Coturnix japonica: one gene and its partners. The protein of the gene in region 3 purifies or fractionates together with the protein of the main gene of each other region. This does not show direct contact. Links are inferred from orthologs where the notes say so. Each region holds a gene or a part of one and is shown on either strand. Other genes may lie near its edges.

Evidence for each region.
Region 1: the proteins of DNAJC11 (region 3) and ARMC1 purify together in Homo sapiens (affinity purification with mass spectrometry; 4 studies listed by BioGRID and IntAct, counting the BioPlex papers as one, with this or other methods). This does not show direct contact. The link is inferred for Coturnix japonica from reciprocal best matches to the Homo sapiens genes DNAJC11 and ARMC1.
Region 2: the proteins of DNAJC11 (region 3) and IMMT purify together in Homo sapiens (co-immunoprecipitation; 3 studies listed by BioGRID and IntAct, with this or other methods). This does not show direct contact. The link is inferred for Coturnix japonica from reciprocal best matches to the Homo sapiens genes DNAJC11 and IMMT.

Annotation. Positions count from the first base shown.
Region 1 is NC_029517.1:103,982,471-103,986,880, forward strand, and holds the start of ARMC1 (armadillo repeat-containing protein 1), read right to left. Parts: upstream 2,830-4,410; 5' UTR 2,667-2,829; intron 45-2,666; 5' UTR 17-44; coding exon 1-16.
Region 2 is NC_029519.1:77,504,791-77,508,437, forward strand, and holds part of IMMT (MICOS complex subunit MIC60), read right to left. Parts: coding exon 3,547-3,647; intron 3,388-3,546; coding exon 3,251-3,387; intron 2,907-3,250; coding exon 2,803-2,906; intron 2,452-2,802; coding exon 2,316-2,451; intron 1,273-2,315; coding exon 1,143-1,272; intron 1-1,142. UniProt on the Homo sapiens protein: Component of the MICOS complex, a large protein complex of the mitochondrial inner membrane that plays crucial roles in the maintenance of crista junctions, inner membrane architecture, and formation of contact sites to the outer membrane.
Region 3 is NC_029536.1:426,214-429,860, reverse strand, and holds part of DNAJC11 (dnaJ homolog subfamily C member 11), read right to left. Parts: intron 2,375-3,647; coding exon 2,246-2,374; intron 2,037-2,245; coding exon 1,914-2,036; intron 1,259-1,913; coding exon 1,185-1,258; intron 932-1,184; coding exon 742-931; intron 358-741; coding exon 272-357; intron 1-271.

The DNA of each region.
Region 1 (4,410 bases), on a different chromosome or scaffold from region 3:
TCATAGTGGAATTCATTTTTTCCTACACCACACGTACAAAATACCTGTCAAAAAAATGTATATGGTATTAATGTTCGCTATCAATTAGAGCAGAGATAAGGTAAGAACATAAATGCATTGATTTGTTACAGGCATAAGAGTACAAAAAAAAGAAGCCTCAAGGAACAAAATTTCTAAGGATAATGATCATAGAACTTTTCAGCTGGAAACTTAAATTTCCCCTGTGGAAAGCAGATAGGGTTTGGTTAATCACATTTTCTCTTGTTTCCTTCAAATACATGCACCGATATGTATAACAGTACATAGTTTATAGCACTGATAAAGATGATCAGAAACTCCATAGTTGTCTCACACCCAATATGCAGACTACAAGTCTACAAACATCCTTCTGTATAAACATGCAAAATAAAACCTGAATTTTCAGTGCCTTTAGCAGTAATCAAATTTCACATAAAAGTGAACCAAATAAGCAGCAAAAGATTAACCCAGCATCAAGCATAATCATAGAATCATAGAATTACCCAGGTTGGAAAAGACCTTGAAGATCATCAAGTCCAACCGCAGCCTAACCAGTACCCTAGCTCTAACAACCCTACACTAAATCATATCCCTGAGCACCACATCCAAACGGCTCTTAAACACAACCAGGGATGGCGATTCAACCACCTCCCTGGGGAGTCTATTCCAGTACCTAACTACCCTTTGTGTAAAGAAGCTCTTCCTAATATCCAAACTAAACTTGCCCTGGCGCAACTTGAGGCCATTTCCCCTTGTCCTGTCATTTGTCACTAGTGAGAAGAGACCTGCCCCACACAGCTTGTGTAACACCATATCCATTTAAAGCTACAAAATACTTAGAGGTGTTGTGATTTTTTTTTGAAACTTCTGACTAGTTTGCATTCAATAAAGAAAAAAAAAGCAGGTCACACCTTGCTTCAGCCAAAGTGCAAGCCAATATTAATTTCAAATGAGACGTGTCAGTGTCTGATTCCACAGTTGTTTTAATGAGGGGTAACTACTTAACAGGCCACAGAAGCATAAGCTTAGATAAAAGAGAAGGTCTGCATCTTGATAGTGACAGAACGATGGGGAATGGATTCAAACTAAAGGAACGGAGATTCAGGTTAGATTTCAGAAAGAAATTGTTACTTCAGAGGGTGGTGAGACACCGGCACAGCTACCCAGAGTAATTGTGGATGCCCCATCCCTGTAGGTGTTCAAGGCCACGTTGGATGGGGCCCTGGGCAGCCTGAGCTGGTGGGTGGCAGCCCTGCCCACAGCACAGAGGTTGAAATTTATACGGGTATTTATATATCATAATGGTATGGGTAATTTATAAGAACTCTTCCAACTCAAACCATTGTATGATTACTTCAAAAGACAGACTGTGTGCTTCCAAAACTATGGAATGTGGTCCTTGGTGCTGCCACTAGAAACTCATGTAAGTAGCTTTATTTTAAGGCACAAAAGCATGAATAATGACATATTAAGTTGCATTCTTTTTCCCCCTGTATAGAAATAAAACTGAATTTGTAACTGGTAACAATCTTTTACCATTATTTCCCAAACAAATAATACCATTCATATATTATATTGTTCTCTTGCTGCTGGTAGATGCACGTGTAGAAGTGTCCAATAGTTTCTCACATTTTCACATTAAATAAAAACCTGCTAATTTCTCCGTCACTGGTTCTTCCTTTGGTAAAGGAAATGTGAGAAGTCAATCATTCCCCTCCATGTTCTTCCCTTTGACTGTACTATGTCCTAGCAAGATTGACTGGGAACTTCAGACCATAATGAATACTTTATATTCTCAAAATAGATGGCTCTAAATTGCTAAAAAGTCTCTATGAAGTTCAGTGTTATTCGGTACATTCTTTAGCTGATCAACAAAACTTACTCAAAGCCTACAAATGAAATGAGTTGAAGTTAATGCGAACAAAAGCCTCTGACTTTCCAGTCATATCCTGAGCACCAGATCCCTCCTCCAGCTCTATTCATCCTTATCCACTTTATCGTTATTCTTCTGATCTCCTGCACACACACGAAACCGGGGTGCCCTCACTGCAGCCTTTCAATACCTGAAGGGAACTTACACCCAGGAGGGGAGTAAACTCTTTGAAAGGGCTGACAATAGCAGGACACGGGGAAATGGTTTTAAGTTAAAAGAGGGAATTTTTAGGTTGGATGTCGGGGGGAAGTTGTTCACTAGGAGAGTGGTTAGGCCCTGGAACAGGCTGCCCAGGGAGGTTGTGGATGCCCCGTCCTTGGAGGTGTTCAAGACCAGGTTGGACGGGGCCCTGGGCAACCTGATCTAGTACATGTGTATGTTTGGTGGCCCTGCCAGGCAGGGGGGTTGGAACTACATGATCCTTGAGGTCCCTTCCAACCCGGGTCATTCTGATTCTGTGATACAAAGTTCTACCCCTCCTCACCATGTCCCACTCTTTTCCTTCCACCCCCTTCTGTCTTCTCAGTCACAACCAAAGCTAAAACCGAAGTTCCCATCTCCTCCACCCCCCACAACACCGTTATTACAGCCGGGAGCCCCGTGGCCGCTGACCAAAGGCCGGGTCCCCTCGCCGCACCTCCCTCCCGGCCAGCCCAGCTCCTCCCGCTCCCACCCCTGCCCCCCGTAGCGGCCTGCACTGCTCCCGGCCTCGTACCGCTGAACGAGCCGTCCTCAAACCGCCACAGCTCAGCCTCAGGCCCCCATCGCCATCAGGGGTCACACACCGGGACACACACGGAGCTCACACCTCTCCCGCTCCGCCACCGGGCCCGCTCGGACCCCACACATCCCTCCACGCCGCAACGCGATTGGTGCGGCGCCGCCCTCGCCTCTCCGCCAATCATAGCTCGTCTTGTTGTCGGCGAGGCGGGATTGGACAACGGCTGCGCCGCAAGGTGCGCTGGGAACTGTAGTCCGCCGCACGGCAGCAGCACAACGACGCAGCCAACGGCGCCTTCTGCAGCGCCGCCTCTTATTGGCGGAGCCCGGTCACGTGTCCGATGGACGCAATCAGACGCGGTGGCTGCCGGGTAAGGTCGCTGGACACCCAGCCGAAGGGCGGTTGAGGTCCCGCCTCCCCTCAAGCCGGCCGCCTATTGGTCGGGGAGGTGCCGGCGCGGCCGCTGATTGGCTGCTGGTGGGGTCGCCAGCTCAGTGAGAGAAGCGGGTGAGAGAGCACGGTGCTGGGGGTGGTTCGGAGCCGGCCGGGCTGCACACGGCCCCACCGGGCGGGAGCGGAGTGTGAGGGGACGGCGGCAGCGGGAGCCGCAGCGCGGGGTGACACTGCAGCGCGGTGAGAAACAACGGGGGGACATGGGGGGGAGGGGGGTGAGGGAGGTGGGGGTGCGTGGGGGCACCGAGAGGAGGTGGCGGGTGTGACGCGGCTGTTTGCGGATTGAACGTGTCACAGAATGACCCGGGTTGGAAGGGACCTCAAGGATCATGTAGTTCCAACCCCCCTGCCTGGCAGGGCCACCAAACATACACATTTACTAGATCAGGTTGCCCAGGGCCCCGTCCAACCTGGCCTTGAACACCTCCAAGGACGGGGCATCCACAACCTCCCTGGGCAGCCTGTTCCAGTGTCCGAAAGCGAAACCCGCTGATGTTGTAGTGTCAGTTATGGGAAGCAAAACATGGAGTTTTAAAGCTGCAGTTAGCTGCCGCCGGATCAGAACCAGCCCGGTCGCCATTTACATTGTGTGGGAGCCTGAAGTTGTTACTAAGAGGCATTATGGCAGAAAAAAGCATAGAACGTTCGGAATGCTTTTCCAGCCATGGACACCCTTCTGTGAATAGAACCTTTCTCAAAGGGGGAGCAGGGATGACGCTGACAACAGCAGCTGGGGAGCTGTGTAAGTCTGGCAGCAGAGTGTGGCTGTACGGTTCTGTCTTTATAACGCCTCACTGCCTGGCTTAGAAATCGGGGAGCACTTCACAGATGGGACCTCAAGGATCATGAATCCCCAACCCCCCCATCACAGACAGGGCCACCAACCTCCCCATTTAATACTAGAACAGGCTGCACAGAGCCCCGTCCAGCCTGGCCTTGAACTCCTTTTTTTATGTGCTTGGTGCTTCTTTGAAATAAATGTACTTATTTATCACAGAATCACAGAATGAGCCGGGTTGGAAGGGACCTCAAGGATCGTGTAGTTCCAACCTCCCTGCCTGGCAGGGCCACTACATACACTATTGTATAACGTTTATGTTATACAAACCTTTTCAATGTAGAGATTAGACCTTTCGTGGTCTTGTTTACTCTCCATATGTAGCTGATCTGCTGCACCGAGAGCGTTAAAGCATTCTCTTTCATTTTGGCTTGGATTTTAAGTAGAGAAACTTAAATACAAATATCACGTTTCTTTTTAAGAGAACTCATCATTTGAAAGGGCCTT
Region 2 (3,647 bases), on a different chromosome or scaffold from region 3:
TTCAAGAACAGACTCCGGAGATCCCTCCTTGTTACAAGCAAGATGTAACCCAAACATCCCCACCACTACAGCTGCCTTTGGAAACCCACAGATGAACCTTTAGGTTCAGTCAAAGCGAGAAATACAAGTAAAGAAGTGCAACAGGACACTGAGAATTTCCAGGTCCTTACAAACGAGCAGTTGGGTAAGAGACAAATTCCCAGGTAGCAGTGAGAGTCACTATCGAGTCAGTCCTGTACACTAAGTAGGGTCACACTGGTGTGAAACTGAACGCCTGGAAGCTGCCGGGATGTTCCCTCTCTCAGAACAGTGCAGTGCTCACAATACTCAGGATGTCCTCCCCTTATCCTGCATTAGAAATGGTAGCTCCATCTCCAGATGCCAAATCCCATTTTCTTCAGAACTAATATCCCAGAAGATTGAACATAAGAGAGACAGCACAGCAAACTGCAGTTTCTCAACCTAGTAAGTTCTCCCAACTTCTTACAGAACAAAAACCCCATGTGTTACACAGGCCTGGTGTTTTCATTTAGCTTTGAAAATGAGTTTGTGGACTAACATTCACATTTCTAGAGCATTAAGTACCATTAAGAAAGAGGATCACAGAGGATGAGCTGACTTGCTTTAGCCATAAGAATTTAACTGCAAGCCTGACTCCTTCCCTGCCTGCCTGCAATCACACTGTGGTGGTATCTGAACCTTCCAACAACTCTGAGTAATACATTTATCCCTCTACTGAGGCAGAAAGATTCTAACTGTACTTCTGAATCACATTTCTCACTTCACTTTTATCTGTTCTAAGGAAAGCAGGAAGGAGCTCCAGCTGAAAAACCCAAGCACCTCAAAAACATGAGTGTGCCAGATGTCAGACCTCAGGCAAAGAACTGTAGCAGCTGGAAAACACCACGCAGCCATTTACTGCTTCTGTGCAGCACTGGCTGTTACTCCAGATCAACTCCTGTGTCACTCTCCTTTAGAACTAACACACTGGGATAAGTGAAGTATTTAAAGAGCAGTGAATTCACTCTTTCAGTTATCTAGAAAGAATCAGGGAGCTCAGAATCAGGGAATCCTGAAAGCAGGCATTGTTACAGCTGCTCTATGAACTGCTCTACGATTGACTGCCATCGCCGCAGACTTACTGAGCCCCTTCCAGCCCGGCTGCACATCGGGGGTGATGCTCTCGAGTTCTCGCTGAAACTCCTCTCTTGCCGTAGCCACAAGTTCATGATACTGAGCCACGATCTTGGCCTCAGACTGTGCTGCCTGAACCTGTAACAAACAAAAAAGGAGACTGGCTTATCTTCCAAGGAGACTGAAGTCATCTGAGATCAAACCTGAGTTAGTGGCAGAGATCTTTATCCTCACTTGGGGAAAAGCTGCCCTGTGACATCAAGCCTCTTATACACAGTAATTATTTACCCCAACTACACAGATCCACTTCTTCACACGCACACTGTAATACTGTAGTCAATCTGTAGCTCAGAAAAAACCAACACAATATGTTCCTTTAGAGATATCCAGCTCTACACCTTCATTACAGAATGTTTTCTACCATCAGAGCAGCATGCAGCCATCACAGCCCCAGCAGGGAGCTGCCCAACCCTCACTGCGTTCTGTACTCCCACACTTCAGAGAAATTCCCCACTGAAATTCCTCCATCAGAGCAATCCATTATCCTGCAAAAGGGCATGATTTCAACTTTACTTTTCATCCTGTTTTCTGAGCCATAAAGTGATATACCCACAAAGTCATCAGCAGACTCCTCCCCAACCTGATGAATATTATAGGTGTGCCCCAGATCCAAAGAAACAAGTTTCAAGGTTAAAAAGTAATCTCAGCAATCCAACCCTATGTCTCCCATGCCCTGCACAAGAGCCACCACCAGAACAACTGGATACACTCAGTGAGAGGACACTACGCCAATCAGCACCCTGAATAGTTTGTCTCATCTTCCTAATTCCACTCCAGCATCAGACAGAAGGAACTGCAAGTCCAGCATCAGACAGAAGGAACTGCAAGTCCAGCATCAGAAAGAAGGAAATGAAAGCTGCCCAAGGAAAGAGCAGACACTGAACAAACTGGCTGCAGAGTTCCAAGACAGAGTTCAGGCTTTTCATGCAAAGTCCTTGTCAAGACAACTCACTGGTACCACACACAGCTCAAAGACTGACTATAGCTGAAAATTGTGTTTAGAAATAGCATTTAAACTAAGAAATACTTGATCTGCTATAAAGGACGTGGAAAAAGGGGGTCTCACAAGCTGCCAATCAGTCCTTGTTCTAATGATGATGAAGAACAGCTGGAAGTGTTACCTTCTTCACTACATTGTCCAAGTCAACTATCATATGATGAAGATTTTCCTCTGCAGCAATGATGTGAGGTTTGGCTCCTGGGATCTGAGCCTTCTTGGCATTCTCAATTACACCTTTTGTCTTCTCCAACTCTTCTCTGAAAAGAAATGAAGCTGTTGATTATAACACATACAGGTCTTACTGCATAACCACATACATGCATGAGCACACATCTAATAAATAGCCAGCCTTAGGAGTGGCTCTGCTGAAGAATGGAACCAACAAACAGTGCTGTAAGACTTAATTTTACATCACAGCTAGGAGAAGCCAACGATGTTATTGACTCAACAGACCCAGAGTGCAGCAAATTGAATTCTTACAATAGGCATAATAATGATCAAATGATCCAAAATGATATTAGAAGGATTATGGGTTATTGTTTTCTTCAGTCTTACTTGAACTAAGGAGCACTGTATTTAAGTATGGGTAGGAGATACAAAGAACTCACTTGGCTTTCAGAAGGACATCAGCAGCTTCATCCACTGCCCTCCTTCGATCTTTCAGAGCCTCCTCCAGAGTGCGCCACTGAGCTGATTTCTTCTCCCCAGCAGTCTGACAAGCACAGATCGATCATTAGTGTTATCACAATGCCCACGGTACAAAATTACCCATCAGATAATAACAACACAGCTGGAAGCTCTTAAGAATTTCTTCTTTCTATCGTTTTTGTTGTGGTTTTGAACCTTGACATTGTGATTGACCACTCCATTATACCCTCTGCAACAGAAAGCAGCAGTCCTACACAAAGTGGGACATGTCAAAAGCAGAAGCACTTTATTATTAAACCCTACAACGTTTCCCAAGTGGGAAGATCAGGTAAAACTGTGACAAACATTAAACCTCAGACTTTATCCTTAGTTACACGATGAACACAAGTCCCCAGCTGCCCAATTTACCTCCGAGTTGTCCATTGCCTCCTTCAGTATTTGCAAGTGCGCATTCACTGCTTGCACAGCAGATTCCTGTGCAGTAATTGCCTGCAGTGTTACACGAGCCGTAGAGCTCAGGGCTCCTTCCAGTGTTGCTGCAAGGGCTGGAAAGAAAATACTGGAATTAACTGCAGCCTCATCATTGAAGTGATTCATTATATCTCAAGTGTCTCCTTACGTTATTTTCTGTGGCTCACAAGAGGTTGGGAACAATCCTTTTGTCCCTTACAGCATGTGTAGCAGAACTCCAGGTATGGGCTCACCTGCGATCTTCTCTTGCTCCTCTTTGTCCTGCTGGGCAAGACGAGCCGCGACCTCGTCCGGCGATCGTTCTTTTATAGCATGGGAACCCTCATGTTCTTTA
Region 3 (3,647 bases):
TTTAGTCAGTAAAAAAAGTTACAGACTACAAGAAGTTCTGCCTTTCTTACCAGTGATGACACAGAGGCAACAAGTGTGTATTTCACATCTCACTTATCTAGAGAGACACACAAAGCTGAGCCTCCAAGACACTCACTTCAGTCATTAACAGATTTAATTAAAGCAGATTCCTACAGAGTACAAAAGCACTCAATTTGTGTGGAACCTGGAGACCTACAACAGCAGAAGACAACAGATTCTGAGCAATATGAATTTCCTTTTGCACGCTTACTTGAGAGAACCTTTTATCCGCGTCTGATCCTCATCCTGGAACTTATGCTGATAACTGACCATCATGAAAGAATGGGGGATTCCCAGCTGAAATACAAGAGTTACACATTTATGAAGAACCCTCAGACATCACTGAATGTTCCCCAAAATCTGCTTTCTTAAAATAACATTTTAAGTGTCACAGAAAACAGCACCTGCCACTTCTCATCACAACCCACAACCTCTACAGTCTACACTCCACGTCCCAACCCTGATCTGGGCTAACACACGTGAAAAGTCACAATGTTGGGCACAAAGTGTTGTGCTCTTTCAAATCCAGCTGGGTGTCTATGGCAGACATTCACAAGAGAGTACCCAGCTGCTCCTTTACCCTCTATTCTCAAGCCAAATTACAGCTGGAATGGAAAGGCTGAGACCCCTCCCACTCAGAATGGCAGCACCATCCCCTGCATACAGCCACAGGATTCTCACCTGCAACGCCACAGTGAAATGGCTGGTTTTTGTGTCCCGGACAACGCTCGTATTCATGGCTGACTGGATGCCCCACCGCCACTGTAAGTACCCCATCGTGTTCTTATCGAGGTTGCGGGCAAGAACTGTGGTGAGACCTGGGCGGATCCCACGGGATGAAAACTGCAGAGCACAGTTTGTAGTGATGAAACTAGAAGAAATAAGCAAAGCCTCATCAGGATGCAGAACAGACTCCCCTTAATCTGGTAGTATTAAAATAGAAGACACTAACAAACAGAACATATGCATTTTGATTAGCACTAAAACATTACATAAAGCCTAAAACAGATACCTTTTGCAGAACAGAAAACAAATCTAGAACTAACATGAAAATGAATTTAAGATGGTTAATATTCCACACTGAGGAACCAAACATTAAGTTGTTTTTTTTTTAAACTACTTACCATCTTTGTGTAAGATTACGGAATATCTTCAGACCAAAGAGAGGCCCCTGAAGGTCTCCTGCTCCAAACTCCAACTGGTAAAATGCACAGTGACAAGCAGTTAGAACACAGGCTGTGTCAGGAGACAAAGAACTTCACAAGCGCTGTTTATGTCAGATATTTGAAACACTTCTGAGTTAACTTCACCACTTTAGTATCCTCTCTTTTCTACTAATCTTACACTCAGAATAGCAGGTATTTCTATGAGTAAGGTTGCCATGAGTAGAGGAAAGCCATTTTCATAGCCCTACAGGCAACTAACACATGCTCTGAAAACAGCCTTTGGAAAGGCCTCACACAGAGAAATCAGCAAGTCCCAGGAAACAACAGGTAACACTCCATCAGCACAAGCCAAGCTCATGATGCACGGCCTAAAAATGGGAAGGGAAAGAAATGAAGAAAAACTTTGGACTTAGAAAACAGAAGGTACCAAGTTTTATTCTACTACTAAACACAAGGTGTTTGGTTTAGTATCACTCTACAAATACTGCTACCACCTAAATCTCCAGGAGCTCTTTTCATAGGGCACTCAAGAAAGTTTGTCAGCACTGCTACCCTACATTCTGAAATGGAAGCACACAGAGGTGGAAAAAAAAAAGCTGACGTTCCCAAGAGAAAATGAAGTCTAGATAACCAAACCAAGAAGCCTGTAACAAATTGGGTATAATACATAACATCCAGCATTCTTACCTCTCCCCATCCCTTGGCAGATGTCACTCGTCTAAGAGCAAGATTAATTGATCCACCTCCATTCCCATTCTGGGTAGAGAGGTTACCAGACAGTATTGCTGTGTCTGTGGAAGTCAGCGGTGCCTGAGAAAAATGAATATACTGTAACTAATACAATCTTGATTCACATGCTATGACTATTCTACAAAGACACAGCCAAAACTGTAGATGACCATCCTCCAGTAAAGAAAGATGAGACCTCTGAGCAGCGTTCCACGTTCTGCTGGCCTGCACTGTAGTGCTTCATGATCTCAGACCCTGACCGAGCCAGCTGTGGTGCTGGCCCTCCTTACCTCAATGGACTGGGATATGTGCATTTTATTTATTTCAATCTGGGGAAAGCTGCTCCCTTGCACATCTTCATATTCTTCATCATAACGATCAAAGAGGTCAGTGGCATCTATTCCAACACTAATCGTTCCCTAAGGACGAAGCAAAGACAAATGTTTTTAAACAGAGGTTCTCTAAGCAGTAAGTATGTTGAATTTGAATGAAATCCTGCTATTTCCTTTTTCCCCAGCTGTGAATTGTAAAACACTCCCCTCAGTGAAAATGGAGGTGTCAAAAGGAAAAACACCTGAATCTATGCATGGAAATCTATGAATCCAATTTAGATGAAAGCAGCACCTCAGCTGCTCCCATCCCTGTCCTCCACAGCAGGATTTCTGTTCAGTTGCCTTTTGCTGAAGGGAGCAGTGGACTCCACAAGGTATTTTCCCTCCTGCCAAGCAGGTGAAGTCACCTTCAGAAACCTATAAGACCTGGCAAGGAAATTGGCTTGTGCACAAGCACAGGAAAAGCAGCAGATGGCAATGTTAAAAATACTCCCAGAGAACGACAGCACCCCCTATGGCACCGGATAATAGAGGGGAGCGCTGCTCCTCACAGCTTCCCATCAGCCACCTGCTCAGACCATTGAAAAAGGAAAAAAAAACTTCTCAAAGCGAGAGCAGCAGGGAGAAGCTGCAAAGCTCTGCTCAGAAGTTGGCTGCACACACTGAGTGAGCAACATGCTGAGCAGTGCACCACCACACAGCAGGGCAGGAGGTCGGTGACTGCACTTCAGAACCATTAGAAGAGTTATATGGCAACACCTTTTAAAATTACCTCCATCTGACATTCCTGTAAACACAAAACAGTTGTTAGTGATGAAATGAAGATGTGTCAGAAGAACGTATCAGCTCAGCTTTTTTGCTGGAAGACGATCCTTCTTGAAGTGACATGGGGAACCTGGCTGAGCCCTGAGGGATCTATATTTCTTAGGTGCTGACCTTCTGCAGCAGGAAAATTATGGGATTTCATTGCTCCAAACAGGAAGCAGTTCTCACATCAAGTAATGAACTTTTCAACCCTTCTGCGCATCTTTGAAAACAAAAACAAAGCTCTAAAAGCAAATAATAGGCTCAATTTGAAACCTGCCAAATTGCCTACATCTGGTTATTGCTCAACATTTCTGGTTAAAGTGCTTTACTTTGCTGAAACCATTTTGTAGAACTGACAAAATGTTTGAGATTTTAAAATAACTCGTGTTCATGTATGAAGTGATCACAGCTGTGCTACCCAATTCCACAGGAACATTGCCTGGGGAGCCATTTCTATAGGCCACCAATCAGCAGTTGCTGTAAACACCCAGATGGCTAATTTTATCACAGGACACAGAGACCACAGCTCACAACACAGTTCTCAAACTAAGCA